Saccharomyces cerevisiae S288C: one gene and its partner. Changing the gene in region 2 together with the main gene of any one other region gives a genetic interaction. Each region holds a gene or a part of one and is shown on either strand. Other genes may lie near its edges.

Evidence for each region. Genes that interact genetically often act in the same process or in processes that back each other up.
Region 1: mutations in YGR237C (region 2) and SPR28 together harm fitness more than expected from each alone (negative genetic interaction), as found in Saccharomyces cerevisiae (one large-scale study listed by BioGRID).

What each region holds. Positions count from the first base shown.
Region 1 is NC_001136.10:903,453-911,140, forward strand, and holds SPR28 (septin SPR28), read right to left. Parts: upstream 1,601-7,688; coding exon 329-1,600; downstream 1-328. Other genes in the region: chromatin-binding protein RAD9, read right to left, coding at 1-28; MFB1 (Mfb1p), read right to left, coding at 2,003-3,400; GTB1 (Gtb1p), read left to right, coding at 3,878-5,986; YDR222W (uncharacterized protein), read left to right, coding at 6,602-7,688. UniProt on the Saccharomyces cerevisiae protein: Septins are GTPases involved in cytokinesis that assemble into filaments and form a ring at the cleavage site. May act by recruiting MYO1 and HOF1, a protein involved in septation, to the site of cleavage.
Region 2 is NC_001139.9:962,672-974,036, forward strand, and holds YGR237C (uncharacterized protein), read right to left. Parts: upstream 2,985-11,365; coding exon 627-2,984; downstream 1-626. Other genes in the region: SPG1 (Spg1p), read right to left, coding at 1-146; KEL2 (Kel2p), read right to left, coding at 3,368-6,016; PEX21 (Pex21p), read right to left, coding at 6,516-7,382; PFK1 (6-phosphofructokinase subunit alpha), read right to left, coding at 8,100-11,063.

The sequences.
Region 1 (7,688 bases), on a different chromosome or scaffold from region 2:
TTTTCCATTGAACTAACTGGCCTGACATAGCCCTGATGTTGAAGATTTTCTCACTATGCTCTTTTCTATGGCGTTTCTCTATCTTGCTCACTTCACATTGCTCATCGTTGCAAATATCCACGAACAAAAATCCTCGCGTGTTTAATCAGAACTGCACTCTGAAAATTCAAAGCCGTGCCAGTAATAAGAAAGACACAAGGTTATATAGAGACACATCGAGAAAGTATATTATAGATTAAAAAAATTTTGCCTTATACTTTAGTGCACTTGAAAAAGCAATAAAATTTTATTTCATATGTATCTAACGCTAACAAGGCCGTATATTTATTTAGACCTTATTTTGATGGGGAGCTGCCAACATTTTCTCCAATAAATCAATCTTCCTTTGATAGTCTTCAATAATTCTGTTTTTTTCGTCTATTTCTTTGTGTATTTGATAAGCATTTTCATCGTTTGTATCTGGATTCCCAAGTGTTCTACTTGCACTATTTCTTCTGGTGGAAACATTGCTGACACTTCCCCTTGAGGTTTCGTCGATATAGCTATAGTTTGGAATATCATAGTTGTTTTTCTTCTCAGTTAACACTTTAGCCCTATAATTTTCATACAATACGTTGTTTGTTACATCTTTTAATTCCTGAAGGTGAGAACCTAACAGTATTGCTTTTAAGTATATAAAATCGGAGGTGTTTTGGTCTTCGACCACCAAGCTACCCCATTCGTACGTTCTGATATGCTCAACCCTATTTTCCGAATTTTTATTAAAAGTTTTGCTGCAAACAATGGCAAATGGCGATATTTCCTTGATCTTCGTGTCATTATCGTATTTGGATTTTGCTGAACTGGAATCGATGTCCATATCGTACAGAGCTAATGTTTCGCCTAGGGTGTCACTTTTAAAATCAAAAACACGTATATTGTTCTGAGAGATTTCTTGGCGCACAATGTCTTTGTGTAAATTTAATTCAGTTTCTGTGAGACCATCGGCTTTTGGAATAATGGGAATTAAATTAACTTTATCACAAATCGTTTTCATTAACTCAATATCAAATTTTTTGACTCCTCTTGGAGTACTCTTCAGAAAGTATAAACAAACATGAGGCCTCCCATCAGTTTCTTTTGTGTTTCTCTTTATTCTGACCTCTTCTTTTAAAACATTTGCAAACTGTTGGTCTAAGTAGTTTTTTATAACAACAGAGCTTTGTGAATTGTCGACATTGTCACCGCAGCCTGGAAACAATATGATATCTAATGTTATGGGTACGCCTAGTTCATCGTTCAAATACACTCTTCTGGTGACAAGCTTCAGCCCAGGACTCAAATGGGCTGTTTTATATCCAGGATCTATATCTTCGATGGCGTTTCCATTTTCTGGTGTTACATTATTTGTCACTTTATCATCATCATCATCATAATCCCCATCAGAAAGCGATATATCCTGACCGCACAGATTGTTTAAAAACGTTGATTTGCCGCTGCCTTTTTCTCCAAGTAACAAAATTGACAACTGCAGTCCTTTCTTGTAACCCTTGCGACGTCTTAACTCATCTCTGCTGAGAGTATGTTGTTCAAGAGCTGAGTGATCTTTCATTGGGAACATTTGATTATTTACTGACTTTATGTACGTATAGTAGCTCTTTTTTTGTATCGATTTATAAAAATGCCTGTTCTTACTATTCTTATGGGAATGACACAAAATGTAGACGCATGTCTTTTTCAGGCGTCCTTAATATGAGCGATCAAATTTCGCATCAAAAAAACTTTATTGAAGTTAGAATATATGAAAAAAAGCCACGAAATTTCTAAAGGCAACCACAAATTGTCTTATTATTGATAGAATATAAAAAATAAGTCATTTATTTATATGTACATCTGTGCAAATGGTAGCGGCGCTCTTTAACTGTTTCTACATACCATGCATGCTTGTCTAAAACCATTTCGAAGTTCCGTTGCTAATTCAGAGAAAACTCTTCCAAGCAAAGTCGGTTTGAGGCGTTTTCTGTTATATATTAAAATCGGTATTAGCGTCAAGCCGTTTGATTACATGATCATTCGTATTCGACCCACTAGGGTTATCCAATTCGATTTTGCGATAGCATATCTTATTACCGTCTGTAACAACCGCCTTTAATTTGCTTCTTTGATGAGGTTTGGATAATTCTATTACTGGGGAAGTGTGACTTCTTTGAAATTTATTTTCATCATTTTTCTCTGTTATTCCTTTACAGTTCGAGCTATTTTCTTTTATAATTAATTGTTCATAATTTGCTATCTTTGTACTGTTGACTCTTTTAATTGCTAGAGGATTAGTTGTTTCACCGTTAAAATCGGGATAATGCCTTTCAATCTCCTCTAAATAACCTCTTGAGACGCTCCTTCTGCCAACTTTCGGTAGTATGTCAGAAGGGGGACTTATGATTTTCCTAAAATCTTCGTCATTAGCACTTAACGAACTGGATAATTTCAATCTTGGATTGTCCTTTTTCTTTGTTTTTAATGGTCTGCTATCTCTAAAAATTAACTTCTCAAAAAGTTCGGCTTTATCCTTGACTTTATTAGATTTTCTCAATCTTGTGATTGAGTCAGACGATTCAGTAGATGTAGGCGTCATCTCTTTATAATCAGGATCTCGTGACTTAGTGAAATCCATTGTAATATTATTCCAATCATCGTCCAGTAGTTTGGGCGATGAACTTGAAAATACAGAATTTGTTGAACTTCTAGAATAATTAGAAAATGTCGGAGAAGGGATAAAAGGTGGCTTTTTGACTAAGTCTTCTTCAAATGTTGTATTTTTTTCCAATCCGTGGAGAGAATGTATTTCTCCATTATTCTCCTCTATGTATGTATCATCAGAATCCGCTGAATGGGTCCTAAATGCTTTATCATTGAGTTCGATGAATTGATTCATTCCTTGTAGTATTGCAGTATGAGCGATTTGCTCCCTTGTTATTTCTGTAGGTTCGTTCAAATCCATATTTAAATCTTTCACAGAGCCCTTTTCTTTGCTCTCAACTTCATTTGTTCTATAACTTATTGTCTTTCTAGCCGGATCAATAACGCCTAGTTTATATTTCCGCTGAACATTTCTTAATGATGCGACCAGGGATATGTTGTGACTATTTAAGGTTTTCATTGCCTTTCTATTAAAATTCAAAACATCAAAGACATCAACAAGAACATTTTTTGTCCACCACATATTCCCGTTTGAGCCGATAACAGCATTTCTGTAAACAATGTTCTCATTCGCCAGCATCCTTAGCAAGGTGCAAGTTTTCCCTATGTTTTGTAAATCATTCATATCCAGGTGAGACAATATTCGGAACAATAGGTTTAATGGTAAGTTTGTCAGGGACCTTTCCTCCAGCGGCATCTGTACACTACAAGAAAATAATGTCATCTATGTGGTTGAAGGAACTATAACTAATTCTGGAACAAAAGTGAACTTTCCTTGTGCAGTTTGGCCAATTTGTTTTGATATTTTGTATGAGGATATTTAGCAAGTAGTAACAGAGACTCCTTGGTTATTTGAAAACTTTCCCTTTGTTTAAACTATAGCAAAGTATAACTTTCCTTTTCCTATTTTGTGAAAAAGTAAGTAAATATTGTTATCTCCTCCCAACTGGTTAAATACTGGGTAGGTGCACAAGCGTTTATAGTTTCTAAGAAGACAGCACCAGGAATAATGATAAACAGTTGTTTGGGTCAAAACAAAACGGGTATTGCCAATGCCTTTTAAAATACTTACCCGGCCATAAAATGAATAATAATAGTGTATGAAGACTGTGTTGGAAGATGTTATGGTAGAAGCAGAGGCTTCCGCACTGCATTTAAGAAGCATAAAGGCACTTCTGCTATTTCATTAAGAAGATTCGCTATGGTGAGCATGTTCTCATTATTTCTGCTATTAATTGAGCAATCGCCGCTTGTAGCGTCATTGCAACAAAGTCAACGGCATATAGTGGGTGTTCCCTGGGAAAAGCAGCACTTGTATGACTCGAATGAACCAGATTTGACTAAATGGCACTGTTTGAACCACGAAGATATCGTATTGGATATAAGCCAGATTAATGATGGGGTTTGTGATTGTCCTGATGGTTCAGATGAGCCCGGCAGCGCCGCCTGCGTGGAAGATATATTCAAAAGCGTTGCAGAGGGAGGTGGTAAAGTGAATAAGTATTTTTATTGTGATAACAAGGGGTTTATTCCAAGATATATACGAAAATCGGAAGTCGCAGATGGTATTTGTGACTGCTGTGACTGTTCTGACGAGCTACTTTCTGGATATGAGCTCTTTGATGCTGGATCTAATTGTTCTCAGTTAAAAAACGAATTTGACATTATGGCCTCTAAAGAGTTATCAAGTTACCGGGAAGGTAAAGAGGCCCTAGAAGAACTGGAAAGAAAATACGGTACAAAGGAAGAGGCTATCACCCGTGGTAATTGCTTAGAAGAAGATAAGGAAAAAGCTTCTGCCGAGATAAAAGTACTCTCCAACAGGCTCTCAGAAAATCGAGCCAAATTAGAGCAGTTGAGAGGCGAGTACTTTAACCAATTAAGCCATGATCCCATTTTGTATCAATTTGAACAATTAAACAGTACTCGTTTGGGATCGGACATCCTTACATCGTTCACTATGGTTTCAAGAGTAAGTAAAGGTTACCAGGACATATTCAAGATTTTAAGTGATTTATCAGAGGCCTATACTCCCTCGCTAAATGATAAAGTTGTCAATGATAATATTAAAAAATTCAGAAAAGTTAGAAGACGGGCTGAAAAGGCTAAAATTAATGCAGATAGCAAAATTGATGATGAGCAGGCAGATAATCTTTACTTGTACTTTACAGAAGAAGTACCTCAAATTTTTTTGAAAAGAGAATCTGAGAACACGTTGAGGTACGTCATAGGAAAATCCAATTTTGTTCAAGCGCTAGTGGAGGGTAAAATTAACTATACCAACGATATCTTGGAGTATATCAGAGAATTCCGTTTGATTATGGATGATATTTCTCAGAATTACAATGTTAACTTTCAAGATGCAGGGGTCAAAAGTGCTGTCGATTCGTATAAAAACTACCTAGGTGAATACGGCGAACTGGCTGAATTAGAACCAGCTCACCCGTCAGAGAGCCTTTTGAGATCGTTGAGCGAAGTAACATCATTTGTGAACGAGAATGCACCAAAGGTATTGCCACCAGACGCTGTTGAGTCAGAACAAGATACGAACAGCGATCATATCGGTACTTCTGGAGATTTGCGCAATAAACTCAAAGAGATTCTATCTAAGCTGAATATTTTTTCATCTAGAAAAGATTTGGTCTCATTAGAGAAGAGATTCCGCTCTTGTGAAAGTCAAGTCAGTCTCCTGGAGAATGAATTAAAGCAAAAAATGGACTATAAGAAATTATTAGATGAAACTGAAGATGAAGGAACTAATTCTACTGCAGGAAATCTGACTGAGCTTTTAGAACTAATGGGATCACAATCCTATTGTCTTGACGACATACTGGACAACTATGTGTACACTATATGCTTTCAACGTCCAATGACCGAAGGTGTCATATATCAAGCTGAGGATAAGGTTGACGGTAAAAAAGTTTTGATCGGTCGTTTTAAGACATCAGGTTTTAATGTTGACTTAAACATGGAAAAATACGCAGAACATTTAAAGGCCACATATGATGAGAAGAGTGATTTGATTTCAAACTTAGCAGCTATACAGGACGATGACGGTAACATGCAACATTACGTATTCGGGAACTTAAACGAACTGAATAATGGTCTGGTACTAGAATACGAAAATGGAGACCAGTGCTGGAATGGTCCGCGCAGATCGGCTACTGTATTTGTTCGGTGCAGCGACAAATTCAAGATTCGGAGTGTACATGAAGCGACTAAGTGCAACTACATCTTCGATGTCGTTGGTCCTCTAGGCTGCAACAAGACTTTCGAATACGAGCCCCCTAAGTTCAATTTAAGTGAATGACTGGAAAATGAGTAGTTAGGCTTTTTTAGTAAGTAAACAACTAGGAAGGCCGATGCTGTGCCGTGATACTCTTTTCCGCAACAAAAGCAATATTTCCCTCGGCCAAAACGCGAAAAGACGATAAATAAGTATATCGTTCCAAATACTGATAGTTCTGTACGACCTGTTGGAATAACGCGAAAAGAAGGGTACGGCGTAATCACCCCACACGGCTTGTATTTTTTTCGGAGAACTAAGTCATAGACGTAATGCTAATTTTTCCGTCTAGCCGATGTTTATGCGGCTTTTATTTTTTTTTTTTTTTTTTTCTCATCTTTGTTCTTCCGGTTTCCAAGATGTCTCACAGATTATTACAGTGAATTCCAAAATCATGTTTACTACTGGAATTTGTATGCATATGTTTTGGCAATCTTAAGCCTACGGATTTTAAATGTGATGGATATAACGAACAGTGTTTACTGGAGACTCACTTCTCTGGGCTTGAGTTTACGATGTATAGTCATATAAAAATGAAGAAATTTCTTGAGTGACAATTGCCGCCGTACTTCGTATTGTCTTTTCTTGACAGTGAGGGCGTATAAGATACATCGTACATACATAGAGACTCATTTAGTGATGCTTGAATCGAGCAGTGATAAGATAAAGTTTGCGCCTATTAAAGAGGTAGATTACAAAAAACCGGTAAGTAAGAGTAAGAACTATACTCTTATTAATGACATCCAACCATTGGAGTGGTATTGTCACAATGATAGTGAAACGGGCTACCAACACACCATAAGTAACAAGACAGATGGTGGTAGAGGTTTATTCAGAGTGATGAAAAAATCGATGGAGACCAGAGTCGAGACCCAAACGTTATATTTCACAGATTTGCATACAGGCTTGTGTGGATTTGTTCAATTACTGTATTCTACGGTTATGGGTGGTATCTATAAAGGCTTCCAATTGAATTTCAAGGTTTTTGGCTCAGAAAGTAATAATACTGACTACGACGTTTGGGAAAGTTTTAAATTGGATGACATAGCTGAATTTCAACCATTAAAGTTTGTCTCTAGAAATGTTATTTTTGAATTTTTGAGCAACAAAAATGAAAAATTAGGTTCCATTGGCCAGTTATCTATCAAATGTGATTTACCAACATGTAACAATACAATTCAAAATTTGAAAATCGATTTGTTGGTGGATTTGTTTCAAGGTTTTAAGATGAACCCCAACGGTTGCAATTATTATTTTGACAAACAAATCTCGATGAGTGACGAATTCGTTTCCTCAGACAAAATGATCAGACATGTTTTTGTGCCCAGAGGTAAATGTAATGGTAATATTTCCTACGATAAAAAACTCAATAGTGGGGACTTTCAAAATAAAAATATTTCATTAACTGATGTTCCTGTCGTTTATCTGGACGCTGTTCAAGGTCTTTTGCCGAATAAAGCAGCCAGTAAATGGAATTTCCTATGTTTTCAGAGCGAAAACTACTCTGTTTTAGCAATTGAATTCACTACTCCTCGAGATCATGATAACGTCACCGTAACAGTTTGGTCAATTACTGAAAAAAACAAACTGATATCTATTGGTTCTTCTGTGCAGAGCCCAAAACGTCATGTTAGGTTCCGTGCTACGAGTACAGATAAGGAAAGCGGCTGGGTATATCCAACCTCTATCAAGTTCCCCGGTGGATTTTCAGAACACGACTTGAGGC
Region 2 (11,365 bases):
AAGCTATGTGCAGGAACCGTATAGCCTCTCCTCATGTATGCGGTCGGTACCACAGCAGCGCCCACCAGCCCTAACATAATATATCTAAACTTTGGAGTTCTCACAACTCTTTGTGCCTCTGAGTATATTCCTGAATCTAACTTCATTTCAGTAAACTTTGTTTGAATTTTATGCGCTAAATATTTGTATTGATTGTATTTATTGATTCTGATCCTTCAGTAACACACATTCCAAACTATCCTGGATAATGTGAAAGAGATTTGGCAGTTCAATTTATATGAAGAAGACCCTCACGTCGCGAAGCATTTTTAACAGTGTTATCCCAGTATCCCGTAATTCTTCTCTTCATCCAATGCTGGCCATTACTCCATTTATTGGGGTGATGTAGGCTTCTTATCCCTTTTAAAGGGTACCTTATTGATCTCCCTTTTCGGTGCGGCTGATGAAATCTATAGAGCAAACCGAAGTAAAACAAAATTACGAAAAGAAATATAACATTATATCTTTATCAAAATGTATGTATGGAGGAGTAACAGCTGAAAACCCCCGTTGTGAGTGGTTTATGATTGTTTTCACGCTTATTTTGTCTTCTATATCTTTGCTGATTTTACTTGTATTAATCCGGTTCATCCGAAAACTTTTTTGAAGATCGAGCCAAATTTACTTTTTTTCTTCTTTTCAGACCTTTTAAATTGATGGTCGTTTGTTGAGGATGAGGAACTGTCCTTTTTGCTGTTGCCTGATTTGGTGCTTTCGGTAGTTTTCGTCCTTGAAACGTGGTTGTGGTGATGGTGGTGGTGATGCGCTTTTCTCTGTCCTGAAGAAGATGAAGTGGAGGATGTTCTGGGTGATAGCCCTGCGGATTTTGTTTTTCTCATTGGATGTGAAGTGAACTTCATTTTCGGATCCTCATTGTCCCATTTTAGTGCTGTCTTGATATGAGGCGTAGAGGCAGTTTCGTGGTTGTAAATGTCATCAACCATGGACTTTACTTTATAAATGCCGTTATTGTTGAATTGTATTCTTGAACTCCGCTTTGAGCTGCGCCTCGAATTTCTCGATTCTATAGGAGTTAGCTTTCGGCCAGAACTGTCGTACTTCATAAGAGTGTTATCATCCAATAGTACTTGTCTCGACGGTTTTGGTCTAACATATCCCATCTTATCGAAGAATTCCATTTCTTCCTTTTTTTCAGGTGAGATTGGGAAGTACTCATTTACAGAGGTTACTGACTCATCACTATCGCTTTCTTCATCATCCGAATCAACCACTTTATGTTTTGTGAAAGGGTTTTCCAAAGTTCTCCTGATTAATGCACTTAGCCATTGCAATCGTTCCTTTTTTCTCACTTCCGTTTTCAAATCATCGCTGTTGTCCTGTTCATCTTTATCCACTCTAGGTTTTATTAAAAGCTCAGGCTTGATGAATTCGAATGGGACAACAAATGCTGGCATTGCAAAGTGTTTCATTAAAAAAAATGGTAGTTTCACTTTTCCATTTCTAAACTTGATTTGAATGTTGGCACTAACGGTGCTGATTACTTGCAAACTTGGCCTATACAGAGAGGTCGCAGATATTATGGCTGATCTTGTTGAATTTTCTTTTACCATCTCAATACTAATCCTAACTATTTTAGTTGCCAATCTTCTCGCGTAGTAATTTAAAATATCGCTACAAGTTTGCTTAGCCTCATTATGAATAGCTTCTATTCTTATTCCCGTTGATAAAGGACTAGAGAGATCCGGGCCTATAAGGCTATGTGACGCGGTAGTCATGCTTTCACTAGTATTGCTAGTCATCCTTTCTAAGCGGTGCCTTCTTTTCTCCTTATATGCTAGAGTATCAATCTTTGCTTCAAACTCAGGAATTGTAGTAATTATGACTAAATGATCACCATTTCTTGTCAAATTTTCAACATACCAGTCCACAGATGACCAAGTATATCTCCTACCTGATATATAACACGAAACAACTCTTAAATCTACATCGTCATCTTTGTCTTTGCAATTGAGCTTTTCTTTTGTATTGGAAATATAATTTTCATAGTCTGGATGATCAATTGTCATTGAAATTGCATTGTGAACAATTGTAGGCCTTGATGGATAAATTGCTGCTAAAGGGTCCGTCACGTTGCTTGAATCCGTTTTTGACTCTGTTGTGTTCAAATAGACTGGAACTTGCTCACCAAAATCAAATTGATCTATTTTAGTCTTGTTCGATCTTCCTTTACTTATATAAAATTCCTCTAATTTGGCTAATTCTTCGTCTGTCATCCCGGCAAACGACTTGGACCTTTTCTTTGAGCTCTCCATATTTTCGCTTTCGGATAAATCTACCATTGACTTGGTCTCAATTCTATCTTCAACTTCATTAAGATTGGCAAATGCAGCTTGCGTATAGCCTTTCCTTGATCCAGAATTTTTTTGAGTGTTTCTTTCGGTCATTTTGGTCATTTTTCTTTCCAGCTCAAAATCCAAATCACCAATATCAATATCATCAATAGGGCCCTGTTCATCAGCAGCTTTTCGAGATTTTTTTAGCACGGATACTTTTGGAGGGGGAGGCAACCTCACTGAAGTCCTTCTTCTTGACCTGAACATTGGAGACTCACTTCTACTTCTTTCAACGCTGGGCGATCTCAAATAGCTTTTGGAGGGATCATGTGCTGCAGGAGAAAATACCTGAGTATAGAAGTGAGGAACTCCAGATGTTGTAGACGTTGGAGTTCCTAGTTGTAGTGGCGAAGAAGCTTCTTCGTCTTCGGGTGAGTCCAAGCTTTCGTCAGTGGCAAGGTCATTAGAGCCATGGCTACCGGTCAAAGTATTTTTGTAAACAGGATTAAATTGTGGAGGTATATGTAAAAAATGATTATTCAAGCCAACATGGTGACTGTCATTTTTAATAATGGTAGCTTGGTCATCAATTAAGGAAGGTGCCAGATCATCAAACGAGATATGCTTAGTAAATGTCTTTGCAGATGACATCTTCTATTATTTTTATTAGATATTAGCAGTTTGCCAGGGATTACAGCTTCTCCCTTATGTACAGTGCGACAATATTCTTTTTTTCAATGTGTCTTTTTATTCATTCTTCTGAACAGTTTCGCTTCGTTAAGGGTCCTTCTGGCTTTCTAGAGGCATGCTCACCTAAAATCCCCCTAGAAAAGCGGGCTCTTTACCCGGCGAATAATAATAACCGCGGCTACTAATTTTGCACCATTGAATATTAACCTCAAAAGGCTTAGTTGGCAATTATATTCTCCTTCTATTAATACTTAATGTTTACAATGTCCTTATAGGTGTTTAAATATATTTTTATATACTTTGTACATATTGACTTCCCAGTGCGTAACAACGTCTTCCAATGACTATTTTTTTTGTTCGAGAGTATATAGTTTTTTTTTTAAAGCTAGCAGTTCGTCCTTGAGGGAATCTCTATTTTCTTTCGACATATACAGTTCCGCTTTCAGATTGTTGATTTTCATTCTGTGGAACGCATCAAAATTTCCATGAGTGATGGCGCCACGCTGTTCCTGCTTGTCATCCTGTTCAGCTTGTTCAGTTTTAATTCTATCAATCTCCTTCTGTAAATCGTCGTTGTTTTTACGATATTTTTCGAGCTCGGATTGTGATAGGTGAATAGCCTTCTTTGTTAGGTCCATAGACTTCGAGCTTCCATCAGAGAGTTTTCTTAGCGCATCCAACTTGTTGTTATTGTCGAGTAAATTAGCCCGCAAAGAATCTCTTTCATCATTAAGCTTCTGAGTTTCAAGGTGCAATTTCTCTTTAGCACGCACGGTTTCGTGCATTTCATTTATTACTTTTTCTATTTTGTTCAGCGAATCTTTCTCATATATTTGATTATCTTTCTCACTTGAAGGTGGCCGTGCACTGGTAGGATAGCTTTTTAATAATTTACCCAGATAGCAGGACGATTCGTTCAAATAGGTATGAAGTTCGGGGGTTATTTTTTGCATATTATTTACAAGTATTTCGTTCTGGCGCTTCAAAACATCACATTTATTCTCAAGATCGATGATATCCCTTTTAATAGTGACATGTTCGGAGCATGTTTTAAGTCCATTATTTTGAATCGTAATTTGGTCACAGAGTTTACTTGCCTGAGATAATTTGACCATCAATAAATTTTTTAAATCATTAATTCTAGATTCTAAAAAGGTTTTCTGAATTTCTAGATTTTTAAGCCGTGCTGTTTGAAAATTTGAATCTTTTGAAGCTTCTTTTATTACCATGAGTCTCTGGACTTCCTTTTCTAATTGTGAAATATGTCTAGCAGTTTCAAGTTCCTTTTGTTGAGCTTCGAGACGTAATGTTTGTAGGTTCAGGTTTAAATCATCAAAAAGATTTTTGGGAATTCCTTTTTGACATGATGTGTCCTTATATGAAGAAGAGCCATACTCTTCTGAATCCACTGTTAGTCCTCGTAGAACAGGGAAATTTTTTTTAGATACTTTGATACCAGTTCCCGGACTTTCCTTATTGATGCTTGAATCAACTTTGGAAGATTGGGGTTTCTTTTCCTCCCTATCTGATTTTCGTTCAAATGCCTTATCATCCAAAGCGCTGGAGTAACTTCCAGCCCCTTCATCAATATCATTATAACTCAAAACTTTGCTATCAGGCAATCTTGGTGTAAGAATGTTTATTATCTCTTGATTTTCACTTTCGGTAGACTTAGAGGGTGTAAAGCCCCCGGAAAGACTATTAGAAAAACTTTCTCCTGCATGTAGTGATTCACACATTATTCCTGGGCATAGCTCATTCAAAGATGATAAATCTAAGGTATACAGTAAAGTTCCTTCGCCTTGGTCAGTTTCTGAAGTTTGTAGATCGTGAATATTTGGGCTGGCATAGTCAGTTTTGTCGCCACCCATGATAAGAAGCTTCTCATTCTTCATTAAGGTTAAAGAATGTCCAGAGCGTTCTTGAGGTATGCCCTCCTTCATACGGGGAAGCTTATACCATTTTAGCGATAATAAGTTTAAAAAATAGACATCGTTGGAATATGCGTTATGGGTATCCTTACCGCCTAACACACACATTAAATGTTTATACACCACACTAGCATGCTCTTGTATTGGCGGAGGCTTTTCTCCTGTGGTTTTAACTTTAGACCACTCACTTTGTGCTGGATCGTAGCGGTATGTATCATTGCTTATTGTCTTGGGAGTTTCCCCGCCGAATACCCATAATTTGTTGTCATATGCCACCATTGTATGATTTGTTAAAGGAGGAGGCAGGTCGCCGACAGGCTCTAAAAATTCCCAATGAGAATTCGGCCTACGGAATGATGATAAATCAAAGACGACCAGATCGTTAAAATAAGTTTCATCTACTTGTCCGCCAAAAAGATATAGTTTAGTTTGCATAGGGTTGCTAGCAATTATAGAAATTTTATGGCCGTACCTGCCCAACGGCCTACGGCCGATAGGTTGTGGTATGGTCCACTTATAAGAATTAATATTGAAAAGATAAAGATCATCATCCAACAGTCCGTTCTTATTCAGCTTGTGTGTGTCGCCACCAAACACAACATAGGCATTACCGCATATAGTAGAGGCATGTCCCACTCTTGGGGGAGGTGTATTTTGATCAATATCGATTCTCTTGGAAGTAAAGCTCGTACCATCCGCGTTAGCGGCTATTTGCCAGACATCCCCATATACCGATTGATCGTGAAGTCCACCGGTCACAAAAATCCTGTTATCATTCGTAACAATAAATGAGGAAGAGTGTCGATAACGGGGAAACGGAGAGTTTTTTAGTTTGACCCTATTCCAAATATACTTCCCTGTATTCTTACTCTCTGGAGACCAGGGAAGAGCAGTCGACGCGCCTGATATGCCTCTATGCTGGTTTGGAGGTAGCGTAGGTGTTACTATTCGCGTATTGTTTCGATTATCCATAAAAACTATTGGTCTGGGTACACTTTGCGCTGAAATCAGAGAAGGTCCCGTGTCCGTAGGTACCTTATTTGTCAGCTTGAAAGGTACCATAGCTACTTAAGGGGTTGCCTGCCTCATCCAAATCATTTTTTTTTTTTGTTACAACCTATGCTAAAATTCACGTGTACGCATTTCAAAATTGAAAAAAAAAAGAGCAAGCAACACCAAAACCAAACTTCATAATAAATTAGTATCCCAAAAGACCCTTTCACAAGGTAATTACTTCCTTCGAGACTAATTCGGGTTTTGCGAAGCTTTTTTTTTTTTCTTCACAGTTTCTCCCAAGAGAAGAAAAAATTCACAAGCGTGTCATTTCGTGCAGCTTACATCAGCACAATCCATGCACAAAAAAGGTGTAGTAAGTTTTAAACGAGAGAGATGGGCATGACAGTAGGTAGGGCATGCATCTGCAGGAGTGAAGCTGCGATACTCCTCAGCGCAGAGAACACATAAGGGCACATATTCATGATTTTGATATTCTTAGCTATCTGTAAACATATATCAACGTATGTAGTAGTTACAAGAGGTACAATTGTAGAAACTGCCTATATCAATCAAGTATGTCTTTGTGAATTTCGTCCTTGACGAAAATGTGCCTGTTTCCGACCAGTTCCCCGTTGTTGGATGAGAATAACTCGCTTGCGGAATTTCCATCTGCATTTTTCTTTAAAGTCACGTCACCGCTACTAATGTTTCTCATTAACTGAATAAACTTCGACTCAGATAGTTTTGATTCGACAGAGGAGGAAAGAGTAGAAGAGGAGGATGCAGACGAAGGCGGTGGAGTACAGCATTTTACTATATCTGTGGCAATCCTTTGCAGTTCCGACTGATCTTGGTCGAACCATTTCTCGTCCCGACGTGTTATGGGCTCGTACCGCTCTTTTTGAATTTCTCTCTCCAAAACTTGGAACTCCGCGTCGAATTGAAACGCATCCGTTGGGTTGTCCCGGTTTCCTTGGCGTTGCTGTCGAAGCGTCTTTTGAGGTGGGTAAGTGCAACTTGTCTTCCTTATCATACAATTCTTAAAAGGTAAGTGTTGTCTGCTTGAATTCAGGCGCTGCTGTGACTCGTAATTGGAATACAACCTTTTATATTCTGAGCTAAACTCTAGTGAATCGTCAATCTTCATAGACGAGAACTGCGGAACCCAATCACTGGAATCTACAGTGTTGTTTGGAGTAATGAAGGTTAATGGAGAGGGTTGATTTTGATACCTTACATTGTCAATGCCGTCAAAATTACTACCATTATGCAAAAAGTGTTTTTCCACATGCGAGTCTTCAGTGGCATAGTGTGCTGTTAATTCCGTATGGGCCAGCTTGGTGCGTTTTGACGGTATTAAGGAATCATTCTGTATGCGATGCCCTTGTTGGATAATCTTTTCTATCGGGCTTGTATGGCAGACACTGGGCATGGTATTCTAGTTTGGTCTTTATAATTTTTCACCTGTTTCTTTTTGAAACAAAACCAAAGTATGCGGCGTCAACCTTGACTATATTCTCTTAAATATATATCTGCCGTTCTATCAGAGGTTTGAACATTGCCAATGCCTTAAAGAAATATTTAGTCATCCCATCTCCGATTATCGGCACTAGTTTCCATTTTTCCAGCGGAAAGATAAAAAGAAACGGAAAGAAAAAAGGCCGACAAATAAACCAAACGGTATTCGTAGACCGATGACAATACGACTACAATTAAGGTAGCGCGCCTCACTATGATGTGGATCAGCCTCACATTCAGAGCAATTTGTAGTACAGCAAAGTTGCCGATGTCGTCTTCGTGAACCATTGTCAACGCAGATTAAGCACACCCTAAAACTTGAATAATGCAAATTCCATAGCTTAGTTTAATCAAGGCGCCATTATTCCTCAGTTGAAAAGTATATCTAATGGTTAGGATTAGAAATATGTTCATTGCTCATTGTTATGTGTATCATATCGTACAAAAATTATATAAAGAAATAATAATGAAAAAGAGTAAAACAAAGACAAATAGACAAAAATAGAGGATAGAAAAAGAAAAACAACAGATACATAAATAAGTCTTATGACAAAAAAACGATTGTATAAAAATTAAAGTGCATGCCATTTTTACCTCCTTTTGCTTAACTTAAACTTTTCATTGCAATCATTCATTTGTTTTCAGCGGCTAAAGCGGCTACCTCAGCTCTCAACTTTAATCTACCGGACAGGATGTCACCAATCTTGTTGTATTCAGCCCAGTGAACTTCAAAACCCTTTCTTAATTCAACGTTGGTTTCGTTTTCCCAAAGGTTAGCAATTGGCTTGAAGGAAACGTGAGAACCATTAACACAGATAACAGCAGCAGAGTCATCTTCGTGCTCAACAGTTGGTACCTTTTCACCGTGAGTATCGAACTTGAATCTCAAAACCTTAGCGTCAGTGTTTGGAGAAGCTTCATTTTTCTTGTTCCATTGTTCGATAAACTTGATACATTTGACAGCAAATCTGGAAGCGGTGACACGGTCTTTAGAAGATGGAACACCACCTTGTTGAACATGGCCTGGGATAGCAGTTCTAACACCAAACTTACCCTTGCTTGCTTCAGAGATGATGTCAGCCAACAATTGAGTGCTATATACGCTAGAAGCTTGTTCGTTTCTAACCAATAGCTTACCGTTTCTGTTTTCACCTTTGTCGTGACGAAAGTTCTCTTTTAATAGAGTTATATCTTCTCTGATAGAAGCTAAGTCGATCTTCTTTTCTGGAGTGTACACTGAAACAGCACCAGTGATTAAACCAGTGAAAGAAGCGATGTAACCAGAGTGACCACCTTGGACTTCACAGACGAAGACTCTTCTTCTTGTCGCAGAAGCACTCTGTTTGATGTCATCAGTGTAATTGACTAATGCGTTCAAACAGGTATCAACACCAAGTGAGTATTCAGTACCTGGAACGTTGTTAGAAACAGTGGCTGGAATCAAACACATTGGAATGTTAAAGATTGGGTGTTGGGTTCTACCGTCACGCAATTGCTTCAAGGACCTGAAACCTTCAAAACCACCAAGAATAATCAAACCGTCTAGCTTGTTCTTTTGGAAGTAGTAAGCAATGGTACCCAAATCTTCTGAAGCAACAGATCTGTTCGTACCGATTTCGGAACCACCCAAGTTATGCCAGTTTTCGACATCAATCCATGATAGTTCCTTCACTTCACCGGTTTGAATCAATCCACTGAAACCATTCATGATAGCGTATGGTTTATGGCCGTGAGACAAACAGTATAGAGTTGCGGCACGGGTGGCAGCGTTCAAAGCAGCAGATGGGGCACCAACATGGACAATACCAATGTTTAGTCTGTCAGATACTGGCAATAATTCGGAACCATCATCTTTAACGGTAGTGGATAAGAAGTTTTCGTAAAGTTCAATAAATTCTGTGTCTCTTAAAGAAATTGCCTTATCGAAATCTTTGTTTTCAATGGCAGTGGCAACAGATTTAGTCAACTTCACAGATTCAACCAATGGCATTCTAATTATCTTGTTTTCTAAAATACCAATTAATGGAGAAGGAGTTTCAGGGGTAAATTCCAGAACGGCCTTAACAGCATCGACACCTTGTAGAGTAGCTAACCATCTGTCATGAGCAACAGCTGTACCACCTCTTTGAACGTGACCTAGAATGGTTACCTTGGTGTCTAGACCCAATTCAATCAAAGCATCTTTGACGTCATTGGCAGTAACAGGGTTTAATTGATCATCTAAAGCACCTTCAGCGACAATAATTGTGTTATTTCTTCTACCCTTACTTCTGTGTCTTTGGCACACTTCCTTCAATTCGTCCTGCCATTTTCCGTGAGGAACAGCTCTTTCTGGAATAAAAATGTAATCGGCACCGGTAGCAATACCAGCCATCAAGGCCAACCAACCACAATGTCTACCCATAACTTCAACAACAAAGGCACGGGAGTGGGATTTAGCGGTGGCATCAATGTAGTCAACCATTTCACAGATTCTTTCCAAAGCAGAATAAGCACCAATGGTAGAGTCAGTACCAGACATATCATTATCGATGGAACCGACAAGACCAACAATGGACAAATTCTTGTATGGGGCGACTTCTTCTTTAGTGAATCTACCTTCTGCAACCAATTCATCAACCAAAGATGGCCATTCGTGTCTGAAAAGATCAGCACCGGTTAAAGAACCATCACCACCACAAACAACCAAAGCGTCAATACCTTGCGAAATTAAATTGCCTGCAGCTTGTCTACGACCCTCACGCTTTCTGAATTCCATAGAACGAGCAGTACCAATCAAAGTACCACCTTCACTTAACCAACCTCTGACATCTTCCCAAGCCATTTTCTTTAAATATTTACCGCCTCTTAGTAAACCTTCGTAACCTTCGTAAACAGCAAAAACATCACAGCCGAAATGTATACCTGTACGAACAACGGCACGAACAGCGGCATTCATACCTGGAGAATCACCACCAGAAGTCATGACAGCAATCTTCTTCTTCTTTTGAGAAGAGCCCAATGTTTGTCTTAGTAAGTCAGAAGCATCGGAAGAAGCTCTAGAGATGATTTCGTCTTCGGAGGTAGCTTCTAAGAAAGCATCTTTGGAAGTTGGAGCGGAATCGGTTGCATTAGCTAAGCCTGAGAAGGTGATGTTGTTGCCCATTGGATCTTTCAAAAACACTAAGGTATCGGACAATTTTTCGGCTTGTTTTGGGAATTTCTCGACAATCTTGTTCAAATCAGTAGAGAAATAAGTGATTGTGGCGGTTTCGTTGGTGTCGAAAGTTTCATCGATTGGAGCAGACATCACTAAACGAATCTTTAATAGAGCACCTTGACTTTGAGCCTTGTTAGTAGCTTCTTGTTGTGGTATACGGAACCCAGAAGCATCAACCTCACTCAACTTGAAAGATTCTAACCAAACTTCTCTCAAGGAATCTTGGGAAGTCCCTGAAGATAGTAAGCTATTTTCACCATGTTTGAATTTGTTGAAATCTTTCACAGTTGCAAATCCTAGAGTGTGATAAAAGTGAATGGTCTTCTTGAATAAAGCTTCATCATTTGTGATGATAGATCTGAATGCAACACCGTAGCATGAATCTTGAGATTGCATCTTTGATATGATTTTGTTTCAGATTTTTTATATAAAAGCTTTCCCAAATAGTGCTAAAGTGAACTTAGATTTTTTGGTACCTGTTTCGAAATTAAAAATAGAAAAATTTCTCTCCCTATATTGTTATTCTTACTTCAAATTTGTTTATCGTTTATTTACTAGGCGAGACTTGAGTAGACGACAATCCAAATAGAATTAACAGATTTTATTGGTAGAAAGCAATAATATTCTTTAGATGGTTGAGAATAAAGAAGTAAAAAAACCAGTAAAGAGAAAAAGAAAAGGAAGAAAATTAAAGAAAA